Drosophila melanogaster: one gene and its partners. The main gene of each other region encodes a partner of the protein of the gene in region 2 in a complex. Each region holds a gene or a part of one and is shown on either strand. Other genes may lie near its edges.

Region 1 (3,600 bases), on a different chromosome or scaffold from region 2:
TTCATATGAAAAGTTTTTTTTTTAATTAATTTATATATTAAGGCATACGGGGAAATCTTGGAGCCCCTTTGTGTCCTTCTTTCATATGAAAAGTGTGTTTTTTTATGCTCTTTAGAGTACCTTTTATTCTTCACCAGGATCAAGAATCAGCGCAGTCGATCTGGCCATGTTTGTCCGCATGAACGTCAAGATCTCATGAACTATAAATGCTAGAAGATTAAGGATGCAGATTGCACAGAAAAGTGTAGGCGTAGCTCAAGTTTATCCTGGTGCTACCAAACAATTGAAAGTTAAGTAACGCATATGATGCAACGAGGTGCTGGTTATAAAATGTAAGAAACTAGTTTTTAATAGAATGTGTTGTCATATTTCGTCACAAAATTTGATATTATAACTTTTGTGTGCCGAAGGTACGATCATCAAAGTTTGATATTAAAGAATATAAATATTACTATTCTTACAATAAACCCAGCACCGATGCGACTCCCTGAAACCCTATAGAATAGTGAAGCTCACCAAAGACTGAAACACAACATTTTGTTTTAGCAGTTGGGTGCTAAATTTTCAGTTGCACATGCATTTATTTTGTTCCTGGTGATGAATACTGTTGTGTTTAAGAGTCTTCAGTAGATTCGAATGCTCCTACAAACGCCACATGGTCGTTTAGTGTAGGTGTCACAGGATTCATGCTGATTCTTCAATTGAGTTATAAAAAAGATAATCCCATATATATTTTCTTTAGTATGGAATGTCATTCTGACCAGAGTAATCGATACAAGTTTTGGTTTTTTTTTTTGGCGATCAGAGCACTTTATTACGTAGACCCCCATTGATAAAAAACACAATCAGTTTACAATGCCACCCTTAGTAGATATTACCACTTCAACAAACGCCGTCGTTCTAGGCGGTGGGCAGGAAGGTGAGCTTTTCGTTAAGCTGCAGCTGGGTTTTGATGAGCTGGGAGAGCGTGATGACCAGCAGAAGGTTGCGTACGTTGGCGTTGAACATCTGAGTGAACTGCTCGTGGGTCATGTGCGGCACGGAGTGGATAAGGTCTAGCAGCTGGCGTCCGACGGCGTTGTCGGGGGTTACCTTGTGAGCGATCACGTCGTCAACGTACTTGAGAATAAGATCCAGCAGGGACTGCAGCTTCGTGGAGGCCTCCGAGATTTGGGCCAGGTCCAGCATTGGCGGAACGGTCTTGGGACGGTGAGCGGGCGAAACGCCTACGGTCTTCTGAAGCAGCTTGAGCCCAAATGTCTCCGGCTCGTAGCTGGTCAGCTCGACAGGAATGGGCGTGAACATGCAGCCGCTCTTGCCGCCGGGAACTCCTAGTTGAATGCAGACATAAGCACGCAGACCCATACGTCCGCCCTGCAGCGAAGTGTCCACGGTGAGGTGAACCGGGTTGTTGCATTCGCGGGCGTAATACTCGTGGATCACCGAGCTGTGGTTGGTAACGTCGTTGCCGGTGGCCCACCAGCCTACCACGCTCTCGTTGGAGTTCACCTTGCGGTTGAGGTCGTACATGTCCAGGGCGTAGCTCAGCTCTGCCTCCACCTGGTCATCGTGCTCCTTGTGCGGCACACAGAAACAGTTGGTAACCTCCACCACACCTTTGTCCACAGAGCCGAGCAGGGTGCCGATGACGCGGTGCGAGTCCGCGTTCCGCCGCTCGAAGGCGTCCACCACCTGGAAAAGCACCACCGGGTGCACGCGCACGGTCAGATTGAGAGCCGACATGGTAATTTTCGGTGGCCAAGATTTGCAAGGAAAATTTCCGCAATAATTTCTATTCAGCCACGCTGCGCGTATGTTTTAGGGATGCAAGAAAAGGGCCTATCGATAGTGCGGGTGGGGGTTGATGGCTTTTGGAGCTATCGGTGCGGTCGTGCGTGGCCTATCGTTTTATCGATGTAAAACCGGTGGCTAGCGTTAGTTAATCAAATACTATTCAAATTTGAATATGTCGGAGATGCCAAGCGCGACTTTTCATTTACTTCAGCGTCCATATTGTCCAGCACATCAAGTCGCCTGCGTGTTGTTTCTTCTGTCGTTCTAAGCAGACTAATTTACTCAAGCGTCGCCTTCGCGATGCTTTTCTTCTATTCCTCACCTTCACTCAATTATTTCATCCTTACTTCGTTTCCAGAAACTATACAACAACAACAACAGCCACACAAATGATGCCCACTCAATAACGGAACGCTTTCCGTGAATTTCATTGCTCGCTGCTCATTCTTAACATAACGGATCAATAACAAAATGTCGGTTACATTCTACTACTCAATCTTGCTTGTGAAATTTTGCTGATCAAACGTGCTTAAAGCGAATTATTAAATTTAATAAAATGCCTGGAAAGAGATAAACTTTGAAGTTACCCAATTAATAAACTATAACCACCAGTTGGGAAAATCTTTTCCAGAATAAGTATAAATGTTTTCTGTATCCCGTAAGACCGTCTACTATTTTTTAAAAGGCTCGGAAAAAGAGGACAGGCTTGAACCTAAGAGTGGTGGTGGGCGGAAAATTAAAATTAAAAAGCGTGTAGACCGCTTTATTATGCGAATAGAGATTGCGAACCCCCGGTCAGATCACTTGCTCTGGATATCAGGCAAGAGTGTCACCTAACTGTGTCACACGAAACTGTGCGCCAAGTCATCCTACGCCATAGATACTCTTCAAGAGTTGCGAGGAAAAATCCTTTGCTATCAGATGCCAATATGGAAAAGCGTCATTAATTCGCTGTGAACAAGGTGGATCATCCAGAAGAGTACTGGGATGACGTCATATTTGGTGACGAAACAAAAATTATGCTCTTTTATAACGACGGGCCAAGCAGAGTATGGCGCAAACCGCTGAGTGCGCTAGAAAAACAAAATATCATTCCAACGATAAAATTTGGAAAAATGTCACTGATGGTTTGTGGCTGTATCACCAGCCATGGAGTGGGAAAACTAGCCTTAATTTAGAGCACAATAAATGCCGTGCAATATCTAGGAATCTTAAAAAACAAATTTGAAGGCCGGTGCAGAAAAATTTGGTCTAGTTAGCAACAACAAGCCAAATTTTATATTTTAAGAGGACATGATCAGAAACATAAAGAGTGCAATGTACGCACCTGGCGCCCTTATAACTGTGGTAAAGTGATCGATACGCCCCCTCAGAGTCCTGATCTGAACCCCATTTAAAATTTGTGGACCTACTTAAAGAAGAAGGTGGCAAAAAGGGACCTAAAACACGACAACAGCTTATGACTGTAATAGTCGAAGAGTGTGAAAAGATCCCGTTTGAATATGACCTGCAAAAACTTGTCCATTCCATGAAAAAAGGGCTTCAACTTGTAGCTAAAGCCAATGGGGAACATACTACATACCAAAACTTTTAAAATTTTAATAAAATAATTTAAAAATTTAGGATTAAACATCGATTTAGTGTTTTGTGTAAAGAGTTTCTTGACAGTCTCAAAAGTGTTTAAACTTGGAATTTGTTGTTTTTTTTCTTGTATATTTAATATTTTTAATTTGTTTTTTGATTTATAAGTAAAATAAATATTGTTTAATTATATTTTATAAAAAAAATGCGTTTAATTAAGCAAAA
Region 2 (5,924 bases):
TTACGGGGTCAGCTTTCGCCCGCCTGCTGCTGTTTTGCATCAGATCTATTCGCATTATTCTCCTCAAGCCCGGTTTCGAAGATCGGATCTATCTCTTGCAAATCGATCTTCTTCTCCTTAATAGCGCGCTGGGGATTACAGGTTGGTCAAACCATACGTGGTTAGGGAGCCGATTAGCTCACCTTGACGCATTCCTGATAAACCCGGAAAATCGGAGCACACGCTGAGTCATCCATTTGACCTTTTAGGAAGCGTTCAGAAAACCAGCTGTTGAAACAGGCATCGTACTGCTGCTTCAGCTCGTTGCAATCCTCGCCAACGCTGCTCATTTGTTTACTAGGTATATTTTGGTTTTAATTTATAATGCCTATTATAGAGTTCCGAAAAAATGTGACAAAGGTACGTCGAACGGTACTACTGAAGAAAAGGTTTCAGAGATGTGAGAAAAAAAGAGCATATCGATATCCGAAGTTTTGCAGAAAACGAAGCTTGTCATCGAAATTCAAATGTTATTCTTAGTTTTCTTAAATTTTCAAAAGCCAAAGTGTTAAGCCGACTAAAATAATACTCTTGTTAGTACATATAAATTTAATATTAGTTGTTGGTAAAAATTTGCAAAAAAAAGTCACTGATTTTGTGTCTCTTGTTTTTAAGGTTTCTTTTTCGGTTTTGGGTTCATACAAAATGTAGTTATTAGTATTATCATTTAACGTAATGAGCGCTGAAACAAATGTTCGTGTGACTTGGCTACAACAATATGCAATGGACATGATAAAAACAGACCTCCGACCCAGCCTGAAACCGAATCGGAGGCCTGAAAGCATGTGACCCAACGTGTTGTCCATGGCCATTCCATTTTAATAGTCGAAGTGCTACAAATTTGATCTGTTTAAGTTTTGCTGATGTTTAAGCTAACGCTCGCTAGAGAGGATGGGCTGAGGTTGCAGCAACGTCTACTCCTCGTCGATCGTTTGGACTTGTTGCTGTTGCTGCTGCTGCCTATCTTGGTTGTTCTTGTGGTGCCCGCGCTGGTTACGGTTCCGGTTGTTGCGATCCCGCCGCTGGCCGAGCCAATTGCCGCCCTGGTTGTTCTGGTTGCGGTTGTAGCCACGGTCACCGCGATTGCCCATGTTGCCGCGCTGGAAGAAGTTGCCCTGCTTCATGTCGAACACCTTTTCGTTGACGTCCACCAGATTTGTGACCTTGTCCACGAATTGCATGGCCAGGGCCTGAAGACGCGATGGCTCCGAACGATGCATACCCACGGTTTCGGATGGATCGTCCAGGCTGGCCATGAGCTCCTCGTTGATGATCATCTTACTGATGATGGAGTGCACTTTCGGCACGGGCAGCTCGTACATCTGCGCCAGCGAAGGAATGCTGATCGAGGTGTAGACGTTCGAGTAGGTGAACAGGTAGGTGCGCAGCGATTCTTCCTTAATGAACTTGGTCAGCATCTCGCGCACGCGATCAGACTCGTAGAAGAGGTCCCACACTTTCGTGTTCATCTTCTTGTTGACAATGAAGTTGGCACACGCCTGCCAGTTGCCGCAACGCATAGCCTTGGCAGCAGCCACGACATGCTCACGCATCGACTCTGGTGGACCCACCAGTGATTGACGCTCCGAGGAACGCAACTGCTGGTAGAAGGTCTTACTGATCATGCGGCGGCGGGCGTCGAATTCATGGGCGGCAATGTAAGGAATTTCGAGCAGCATAGCGGACACCAGGTAGACACATTCAAGCAACTCAAGGTTGATGTGCATATGGAATGGCATCTGGCGTTGCTTCTCGATTTTCTCCTGCTCGGCAGATCGCTCGTGCTGGCGCTGAGGCAGCAGTCCTTGAGCGAGCAGCTCCTTGGGCTTGCCGGTGACCATCAAGTCCACTAGACAGTGATGCGCATCCTTGACGTTGCCCTGGCGGAAGGCACACAGACCCAGATTGGCCATCATACGGTTGTACAGGATGCGGGTGGCGGGATCGGCGGCATCAATGTTGTCCTGCAGATGAGACATCAGCACCAAATCACGGGCCTGGAACCAGTTGTCGTGCATAGCATGATGGTAGATGTGCGCCAGGATGGCCCTCGTACGGATACGATCCGTATCGTCCTTAGCGTAGATGAATTTGCACAGCTTATCCATCACGTCTACGGAGGTGGAGGTAGTGGCTGGCAGCTCACCGCGCTTCTTCTTCAGCACCTCCGGATCGAACTTATAGTAGAGATGTTCGATCTTGCGCAGGTAGATGCGACAGCGCTCGTTGTTGGTGCCAGAGCGCTCGAAATACTGCAGCACCAGTTCAATAGTCTTAACCACGTTCACCTCGTCCTTCAGCCGGGACACGTAGTCGTTGGAGTGTGGATCGCATTCCTTCAGCAGCTTAACAAATTCGTCATCCAGGCGCTCCACGGCAGCCAGTGGGCATCCCCTCACATAAAACGGTGACGTAGCGTACTCCTCATGCTCCTCGGCCACGCTCTCGCTCATAATAATGTCGGCGTTGGCCAGCAGGAGCTTCATCATGCTCTGCATTACCTCCAGAAGCAGGGCCCAGTGTTCTAGCTTCATGGGCTCGGAAATCTTCTGGTTGTAATCGTAGATAGCCGAGATGATGTTAAAATGAATCTTCACGGAGACGGCGGTTCCCAGGTTGTGCTGATCAGAGATGTCCCTCAACTCGAAAAGCAGATCGATCTGCAGACGGCGATCGGTGCGCTTCTTGCCGCGAGCCGACATAATTTCCAACAGCTTGGCCAGCACTAGGGGAACATCGATCTCTGCGTCCTTTTCGAACATCTTGGGCTTCTCTACTACATGACCCTTGACCACAGTCTCCCACTCGCCATCTTCATCGTCCTCGGCGCGCTTGCGGATCTTGGTCTTCTGCTCCTTACGCTTGTCCTTCCTCTTGTCATCATCCTTTTCCTCCTTTTCGGTAGTACGCTTCAAGAATCGCTCGCGCATGTTCTGATACTGGTTCTCATCGTCAGAGGACTCGGTCTCCGATTCAGAGTCCGAGTCCCAATCAATGGAGTCATCGGAATCGTCATCATCGGCGGGCGCAGCCTTTGCCGGCGCGGACTTCACAGCTTTCGGAACCGCTTCTGTAGGCTTCACTCCGGCGTCGCTGTCATCACCAGCATCGCCGCCGTCGCTCTCCAGGGCAACCACCTCGTCCTCGGCCTCGCTCTCCTGGTCGGGTGCTTCACGGAAACGCGACAGATCGTCCTCGAAGTCCTTGATGTACTTGCGTACCTTCTGGCGCAAAGTGCCCAGCGACTTGGAGTTGTTCTTGGAAAGGTTTTTCCTGCCCTCGCGATCCTCCCACACCTCGTTGATGAAGTCCTCCAGCTCGGCCAGGCAGCGAATGTAAAATCGCGGCGTAATGCCGTTCTCCTCCTTTGAGATGACCGGCAGTGCCTTCTGGTAGGCGCGCGTCAGATCCTCGAAGCTGCTCAGGGTATTGGGAATATCCTTGATTTTCTTGTGGTTGCGAATGGTTTTGATGATGCTGGTGAGGTTCTCGTAACGCTTCTCCTTCGTGGAGCGGACCACGCGCTTGACCTCCTCCTCATCGTCGCTGAATTGCTGTTTTCCACGGAAAGGAATAGATTAGTAATGGATGAGTTTCACATCTGGGCGGCACTTACGAAGGCGCTGGCTTTGTTGAAGTTGGTCGCTTGGATCTCCTCCTCGCTGGACTCGGACTCCGATTCGGACCCGTTGGCAAAGAAACGCGACATCTTTGTTGACTTTCTACGCGGCCGTTTGTCTGCGCCTGGAATCACAATTTATTAGTTTCGGGCCACATAAGATTTTGCTTTGTTGAGGTTATGTTTGAGCGGCCAACATGGCGTTTTGCAAAAACGTATGCCAAATATTTCCGCATGACATTTGGTTGTTTCATTCGAAGCCCTGGCAGAAATCGGTTCACTGCCTTGCTTTTTAAGTGTTTACTACCACCTGGCGTTTGATATTTCACAATAAACTTACTATTTTACAGCAAAACTAAACGATGTCGAATGCACAAGACATCAAAAAGAGAGACTAGAGATGGGCGATGGTTGCATGTGTTTTCGTTGGCGATATATATTGCTCAAAGTCACGGGGCGGGGCGTTTGATTTATGTATTAATAATAACTGTCATGTTGAGAAATGATTACTCTCTACTAATATTCGTAAGGAGAGCGTTTTAAACATTTTTTTAAATGTAACAGAACATTTGTTTTTTTATGTGGCGGACCAACAGTTACCGAAATCTATCCCATCTCTAAGGGAGTCACTGTTTTGACTGAATGCGAGCGCGTACTCATCGATAACGAAATGCCGGCACTTCTCGAGATATATCGATATCAAGTAACCGGTTGGGCGGTACATTTAAAATAAATCCATTAAATTACATAGCAAATATATCATCAAAATGAAATAGTGGCCATTTAAGTAACTATTCAAAATAATGTTAAAAAGATAATCAGTGATCAATGCTTACATAGATGTTGCATTGGTGACCTGCAACATTTGAAGTTGCCAGCAACATGTTGCTGCGCTTGCGTGCAAAAGTGCCGGCATTTCTTAGCCAAACAGAGTGGGGTTCCCATTCTGGCGCCCCAACCAATCTCCGGATCAATTGGTCCGGCCAACATGCAGCCAGGCAGCCAAGGAAAGGCCAAAGCAAAACCAAGCCAAACGTTTTCGCGCGCGCCAACAAGTCGCATGCGTTCTCTCCTCCGCGCCGACGGACAGTTCAAGTTCAAAAACTCAATTTTTCGGATGTACTCGGCGATTTGGCAGCGTTGATGCCAATATCCGGCGATAGAGTCTCAAGTGCTTTTGCGGCCCGCTAAAAAGAATTCAATAAATTCATTCATTTGAATTCTTGTGTGTTGTGTTGTGTCTTGGCGGTGTAAACAAAATTTGGCCCAAGTGTGCGGTGTGTGCGTGGCATGTGCTCTGCCCATCCACATCCTGTTTAAGTGGCATCCTAAATGAGATGCGACGCCCGGAATCGCTTGAAAACACGAGTAACACGGAAAACACTTTAACGCAAATGTAAGCATAATAAATAATAACTGCAGATTGATGGAGATGTGTGTATCTGCGGTCTCGGAAATGGCAAATTAAAAATTGATCGGTTAATCTCGCGTAATCGCCCTTTTCCTGGCTTTTCGACAGCTGACATTCGAGAGTGCATATGGCGGCTTTATTATCCGGAGAAATTGATGAGAGCTCCATAAATTCCCTGTCCGCCTATCGACATTTGAATCCGTAAAGGGTCCGTGAAATAGTACGGGTTTCTGCTCCTTGACTCCTCCGAAACTGCAGCTGCAATCGTAAATTGTGTGTGGGTGCAAAAGCTTATATGCATTTACATACATCCAAATCGGCAAAAACGGGCCCCTTTTTCCTGGGGTTCTGTTTCTGTTTCCGTTACGCTTTTGTGCTGTTTATTTTGCTTCCGTTTTCCGTTGGATTGTTACGGCTTGTGCGGCCCCATAAATCCTATATATGGGTTGGATATTTTCAAAACCGATGCTCGAAACAGACTATAGAAATTTCCATTTAAATGCGATTTCTGCCCTTGCTCGAGCATAGATTTCCTGTTGATTGAATACAAATGTTGAGTTACGCAATTTCAATGAATAATTCCTAATAACTACTCCCACGTTCCTGCCTCCATTTTAATTTAGTTTTTATTGATAAAACCGATGCACTTCTTTTTCATTCAATTCGTCATCATCCATTACACAGAAAAAATGGCTTTATATTTAGATAAATATTTTCCTGAAATAAAGTATTTCTTATTCGATAATATTATATTTTTAATAATTTGCCTTCTCTCAATTTGAAAATATTTTAATTCCTATGGATATTTTAATATAATGGAGCATATTGTAAAATTAATGTCCGCTTACTACAAAA
Region 3 (6,411 bases), on a different chromosome or scaffold from region 2:
AGTTTTAGGTGCCTCGCAGAGAACTCGAGAAGATCCCCATAGAGACTCTGCAAGGAATAGTGCGACGTTGATGGGTAATGCACCATGCTGTCACTTCTAGTGTTGGCCTTTACGCTAGCCTTTTTCTCCACCTTTTCCGTGGCCTCTCTTATTCCATAGGGAGCTTAAATTACCAAAGAATGAACATTTTAAGTTTGGTATAAAAAAGAATAAACCTACGATCTGTTATTATGCAGTCGAACGAGATGCGGGAATGCCACACCGGGTTGGAGAAATCGGCCACCACCACATCCATGTAGCGATCAGCGCAGCCGTACTGCTTCAAGTTGGCCCGAATGCTCTCGTCCTTCTCCCGCACTTTTTGGGTTATCCGGCTCGGCCGGCAGCGGGCGTGCACCATCATGTAGTCTATGTCCGCTCCCAGGACATACCCGCCCCACTTGGCGGCGCTTACCAAAAGCGAGCCCGTTCCCACAAACGGATCAAATACCAGATCCCCATTGCGTACCATCGCTTGGTTGGCCATTAGCAGGCTCAGCTGGGCGTCCATGCTGGTGTTACCGATAAACTTACGATGCTTCAGCGAAAGCTCCTTGATCAAATGCCGCTGACCATGGGCCATCAGCCGACCAAACAGAATGTCCTCCGGCTCAGGTGGCACAGCCGTTGGATCCAAGCCCCAAAACTCGATGTACCACCACTCCACCACGGGTTTCTCCAGATTGACCGTTCCCTCTATTGGCAGGTAATCCATGGACTCGATTTTCTCAACCTTTTCCCTCTGGCTGAAGTGCTTGTTGTAGGTCTCCACAACGATCTTAAAACTGGCATCCACCCGAAAGTATTCCGCAAGCGAATGCCAGTTCGCGGTAACATGATTCCGTAGCCTCTGGTGAAACTCGGGTAATTTGTTGGAGTGGGCGTAGAGCTCGAACATGGCGCGCAACGAAACGGACCTGGATGCATATAGCAACGCAGTATCCGTGTCCCGAAATTCGACCAACCAAAATGGTTTCTGTAATACCGAAATTAAAAAATATAAATATAACTATATATGCTGATGCTTCTATACTACAGAAGTATTTATATATGTGTCGCAAGCTCTAAAAATAATGTAATCAAAGTATCCTACACTAAAAACATCTAACAGGTACGCGGATCGTATTCGTAATGTATGTATACCAGGTATCAGGTATCCTTTCGAAACCTTTTAGGTTTTGTAGTTCCTGAGATCTCAACGATCGTATATAATTTATAGCTAGTAATGCTAAATTTCTACCTGTTGAAAACACTTTTGAAAATATAGTTTACTATTTTCTTCCTCTTACAAATACATATAAAATTTTTTTACGTTAAAAATATTAAACATATTAATAAAATTCCAAGTTTGGATATAACATTAAACCACAGGTTTTAAAAGTTATAGGGGAGGTGGAATTTGTTAATCTTGCGTTTTCAAAATTCTGGTACTAAAACACTTTACCCTGGTGTGTTCTGTAAGCCGCCGGACCTGAAGTCCAAACATTTTGACCAGCGAATCAAACTCCTGCACGCGAAAGTCGACATGCTCCTGGGCGAACCACAAGATAAACTTCCTCCAGTTGACCATGTCGCTATTTTAATTAATGAATTGTTTATTTATATTCTAGAGCGACTTCATTACTCCTCGTGTTATTGCTGTGAGCTAGCGGAGTTGCACTGCGATTAGCTGACCATCGGCAACTATCGGCCTGAACTATCGATAACGCAGCCAGGTGTAGCCCTGCGTGCCGTCGACTCGGCCATTTTGCATTAATATTGCAGCCACACGTAGGCGAGCCGAAGATTTATACAATTTTCAGCAGCCCCAGGTCTCAAAACGCTCCAGACCTGCTATCAAAATCAACTTGAAGTGCCGCCGCAAGTAAGTAAAGCGATCGGAAATGGCCCGCTATACGCAACGTCCGGAAAACGCCCTAAAAAGGGCTAATGGTGAGTGCTGAAAATTTTCCATGCGGTGTCTGAAGAGAAACTTTCGTCTTCGCGAATCGTGTGCTCTCTTAACTCGACGCCGCTCTCTTCGTCACAGAGTTCATTGAAGTGGGAAAGCCGCTTAGGGCGCTGGACACGCTGCAGGAAGTTTTCCGGAACAAGCGATGGAACTATGCCTACTCGGAGACGGTCATCGAACCGCTCATGTTCAAGTACCTGTACCTCTGCGTGGAACTCAAGAAGTCGCACATCGCCAAGGAGGGACTATTCCAGTACCGGAACATGTTCCAGCTGGTGAACGTGAACTCTCTGGAAAATGTAATCCGCGGCTACCTGAAAATGGCCGAAGAGCACACAGAGGCTGCCCAAGCCCAGTCCTCGGCGGCCGTTGCTGTTCTGGAGCTGGATGACCTGGACAACATTGCCACGCCAGAGAGCATCCTAATGAGCGCAGTGTGTGGCGAGGACGCACAGGACCGCTCCGACCGCACTATTCTGCTCCCGTGGGTCAAGTTCCTGTGGGAGTCCTACTGCCAGTGTCTAGAGCTGCTGCGCGTAAACACGCATTGCGAGGCGCTGTACCACGATATCGCTCGCATGGCCTTCCAGTTCTGCCTTAAGTACAACCGCAAGAGCGAGTTTCGCCGCTTGTGCGACAAGCTGCGCAAACACTTGGAGGACATTTGCAAGAGCAGCAACCAGACCACCGGTGTCTCGATCAACAAGGTGGAAACGCAGCAGCTCTGCTTGGACACCAGGTTGTACCTTCTTGACTCGGCCATCCAGATGGAGCTGTGGCAAGAGGCCTACAAGGCAATCGAGGATATCCATGGCCTGATGGCTCTGTCCAAGAAGACACCCGTGCCCAAAACCATGGCCAACTACTACCAAAAATTAGCCATGGTCTTTAGCAAGGCCGGCAACCAGTTGTTCCACGCTGCAGCGCTGCTGAAGCTCTTCCAGCTGACGCGCGAGCTGAAGAAGAACCTGACGAAGGACGACTTGCAGCGTATGGCTGCCCACGTTCTCCTGGCCACTCTTTCTATTCCGTTGCCTTCGGCCCATCCAGAGTTCGACAGGTTTATTGAGGCGGACAAGAGCCCCCTGGAGAAGGCGCAGAAGTTGGCCGTGCTTTTGGGCCTGCCCCAGCCACCTACTCGCGTCTCCCTTATTCGTGAAGTGGTAAGTATCACGCAATATAGTAATGACTTATGACTAATTCATAAACACAGGTGCGCTTGAATGTTCCTCAACTCGTATCTGAGGACTTTCGCAATCTATACAACTGGTTGGAGGTGGATTTCAACCCACTGAATCTGTGCAAGCGCATTCAGTCTATCGTGGACTTCATTGAGAACGGGCCCGAAAACGCTCTGCTCACTCCTTACATTCAATCGCTGAAGGACGTGACTATAATGCGTCTGATTCGTCAGATCTCTCAGGTTTATGAGAGTATTAAGTTCCAGCGTCTCTTGCAGCTGGCCAGTTTTTGCAACATTTTTGAATTGGAAAAACTGCTGGTCGAGTCCGTGCGTCACAATGACATGCAGATTCGTATTGACCACCAGAAGAACAGTATCTATTTCGGCACTGATCTGACCGAGAGTCAACGCGAGTACCGCCCCGACGGACCCGCTTTGCAATCGATGCCCTCGGAACAGATCCGCTCTCAGTTGGTTAATATGTCTACTGTTCTGACACGGGCAGTTTCAATCGTCTACCCGAACCGTGAACGTGACCAGCGGGCCAAGCTCCGCAACCAGATGGTAAACCATTACCATGAGATCAAGGATCGCGAGCACCAGCGTATTCTTCAGCGACAGAAGATCATCGAGGACAGAAAGGAGTACATCGAGAAGCAGAATAATGCTCGTGAAGAGGAAGAGGCGCGGCGTCAGGAGGAGGAATCGCGGAAGGCCAAACTGGCCGAACAGAAGCGCCTCGAGCAGGAGCAAGAAGAAAGAGAGCGCAAGCGCCATCAGAACGAAATCCAAGCCATCCGGGAGAAGAGTCTCAAGGAGAAGGTTCAGCAAATCTCGCAGACGGCTCATGGTAAGAAGATGCTTTCCAAGCTGGATGAGGAAGGCATTAAGAAGTTGGACGCCGAGCAGATCGCCAAGCGGGAAAGCGAGGAACTTCAGCGCGAGGCCAAGGAACTGCAGTCGAAACTCAAATCGCAAGAGAAGAAAATCGACTACTTCGAACGCGCCAAGCGCCTGGAGGAGATACCGCTTTTCGAAAAATACTTGGCCGAAAAGCAGGTTAAGGACAAGGAGTTCTGGGAAGCAACCGAGAAGACACGCATCGAGAATGCCATTGCCGAACGGAAGGATGCCGTCGCCCAGCAGGAGCGTCTCAAGCGCATGTATCCGGACCGGGATGAATTCCTTGAGGCCCTTAAAAAAGAACGTGCCTCCCTCTACGTCGAAAAGCTCAAAAAGTTTGAGGCTGCTCTGGAGGCAGAGCGCAAAAAGCGCTTAGCCGACCGCATTATTCGACGCCGCGAGGAGCGCCGACAGGCCTTCCTTCGCGAGAAAGAGGAGGAGCGTCTTCGCAAGGAGGAAGAGATTCGCTTGGCACAGGCTGCCGAAGAGCGCGCCGCAGCAGAAGCCCGCCGTTTGGAGCGTGAGGCTGAGGACGAAAAGCGTCGTGCCCAATACGAAAAGCAGCGTGCCAAGGAGGAGGAAGCTGAGCGTAAAATCAAGGAAGATCGAGACCGCCTGTCCAGGGAGTTGGCCTCGGAGCGCGAACGCACTGAAAAGGACCGTGACACATGGCGTCCTCGAGGCGGTGACCGTCCAAGCGCATCTAACGGCGGATCCAGCGAGTGGCGTCGTGCTGCACCTGCGGCCAGTGAACGCAACGACCGTGGTGGCGAGCGTATCGAGCGCGGAGGAGAACGGATCGAGCGCGGTGGAGAACGCCTCGAGCGTGGTGGAGAGCGCATTGAACGAGGCGGTGACCGTGACCGCAAGGACAACGAGGGAGCGGACTCCTCTTGGCGTGTGCGACGAGAGCCAGATTCACAGCGTGCAGCTGCTCCCAAAGACAGTGGCGCTCCGCAATCGCGCGATGACAAGTGGCGGCGTGGCGGAGAACGTGACCGCGATTTCCGCATTGATGGGGCTCGTCGCGACAGGGATGATGGGCCTCGGCGTGACCGTGACGATGGTCCTCGCCGGGATCGTGACGATGAGCGCGGTGGATTCCGCCGCGCCGACGGGGCGCGTCGTACCGACGAGCCTCAGCGGGAAACTGGAGGGAACTGGCGCGACGCTCCACGCCACGCTGATCGGGAAACCCGTCGCCCAGCTGAGAGGCGCGACCGAGATGTGCGCGAGACTCGTGGCGATCAACGCGGCTCTGCTCCTAAGGAGGCAGCCAGTGGCGGAGTAGGCGGAAACTGGCGTACTGCTCCTGCGACCCGTGAGGAAAAACCAGCAGCTAAGCGCGATCAAGCCCAGGAAAAGGGTAAGTAATCTCAGCAGCAAACCTAATTTCCATTCTTATCAATGCGTTACATCTTTCAGAGAACAAAGCTGGCGATGATGGCGAGTGGACCAGCGTTAAGCGTCGTTAATTTTTATTTTCATCATCGTATATACCCAGCATAATATTCTTAATAAGTTTTTATTTCATCCGACTTGTACTTTATTGGTGTAGAGCTCAGTCGGCCGGTATATTATATCTATCTATCCAAAGCTTGTGCCAGATAGTTAAAATTGAGATGGTTGTAGGACCGATACTAATTAAAGTACTTTCGAATAAAATAACTATGTTCTAAAAAATTGAAAAGTGAAATTGTCGAATGAGAACCTTGGGAATCAAAGAAATGAAAAGTGGTTATTATTGGTTTAATTCAAAAATTCTAATTCTTATTTATCAGATTTCAGGATGAACCAAGCTTCCCTTATACGTACAGTGATTTATAAACCAGTCCCTTTAAATTTATATTTCGACAGAGCTAAAACTACATTAAAATGTAGTTTGCAAACTAAACAAATGCGGGTTCTTCTATAGTTTTACAAAGTTCGTTCTTGGAAGCGTGGCTTTTTAACATTAGGTTTTTTAATTGCCCATAAATAAAAAATGCATTCAAAAGTATTGTAAATTGTATTATCACATACGCTTGACTTATTTTAAAAAAGTGACATCTTTCTTAGGTAAAACCATATTCGTTGGGAATAAATTCGAGTAAATTTAGAAAAGCTTTTATAGCAAGCAAAACAAAAATATTCTGCCTCTGAAAATTTGCCTCGATAATATGAGCCCGCGCCTTCTTCGCACACTCAACTAGTATTTTCTTGCGAACTTGGCACTAATGCCATGGCCTCGCGGATCCTCCGCGGTGCGCGCCCCTGGTCACACTGTCTGTGCCGCTGCCGCGAATCTCGGTCCACGTGAACAAATTTTGGACAATGTGCTATACGGTACTCATGA

What was found. Proteins that work in one complex are often made in the same cells at the same time.
Region 1: eIF3c (region 2) and eIF3f1 share a complex: the UniProt entries of both Drosophila melanogaster proteins name them as parts of the eukaryotic translation initiation factor 3 (eIF-3) complex.
Region 3: eIF3c (region 2) and eIF3a share a complex: the UniProt entries of both Drosophila melanogaster proteins name them as parts of the eukaryotic translation initiation factor 3 (eIF-3) complex.

The regions. Positions count from the first base shown.
Region 1 is NT_033777.3:4,712,343-4,715,942, forward strand, and holds eIF3f1 (eukaryotic translation initiation factor 3 subunit f1), read right to left. Parts: upstream 1,841-3,600; 5' UTR 1,744-1,840; coding exon 901-1,743; 3' UTR 540-900; downstream 1-539. UniProt on the Drosophila melanogaster protein: Component of the eukaryotic translation initiation factor 3 (eIF-3) complex, which is involved in protein synthesis of a specialized repertoire of mRNAs and, together with other initiation factors, stimulates binding of mRNA and methionyl-tRNAi to the 40S ribosome.
Region 2 is NT_033778.4:17,663,891-17,669,814, reverse strand, and holds eIF3c (eukaryotic translation initiation factor 3 subunit c), read right to left. Parts: upstream 4,138-5,924; 5' UTR 3,999-4,137; intron 3,784-3,998; 5' UTR 3,749-3,783; coding exon 3,656-3,748; intron 3,594-3,655; coding exon 954-3,593; 3' UTR 830-953; exon of another isoform or gene 784-829; 3' UTR 540-783; downstream 1-539. Other genes in the region: CG30108 (uncharacterized protein), read right to left, coding at 9-128, 183-329. UniProt on the Drosophila melanogaster protein: Component of the eukaryotic translation initiation factor 3 (eIF-3) complex, which is involved in protein synthesis of a specialized repertoire of mRNAs and, together with other initiation factors, stimulates binding of mRNA and methionyl-tRNAi to the 40S ribosome.
Region 3 is NT_033777.3:4,429,259-4,435,669, reverse strand, and holds eIF3a (eukaryotic translation initiation factor 3 subunit a), read left to right. Parts: upstream 1-1,774; 5' UTR 1,775-1,922; coding exon 1,923-1,971; intron 1,972-2,068; coding exon 2,069-3,153; intron 3,154-3,203; coding exon 3,204-5,442; intron 5,443-5,501; coding exon 5,502-5,551; 3' UTR 5,552-5,872; downstream 5,873-6,411. Other genes in the region: CG1074 (uncharacterized protein), read right to left, coding at 1-163, 220-1,015, 1,484-1,609. UniProt on the Drosophila melanogaster protein: RNA-binding component of the eukaryotic translation initiation factor 3 (eIF-3) complex, which is involved in protein synthesis of a specialized repertoire of mRNAs and, together with other initiation factors, stimulates binding of mRNA and methionyl-tRNAi to the 40S ribosome.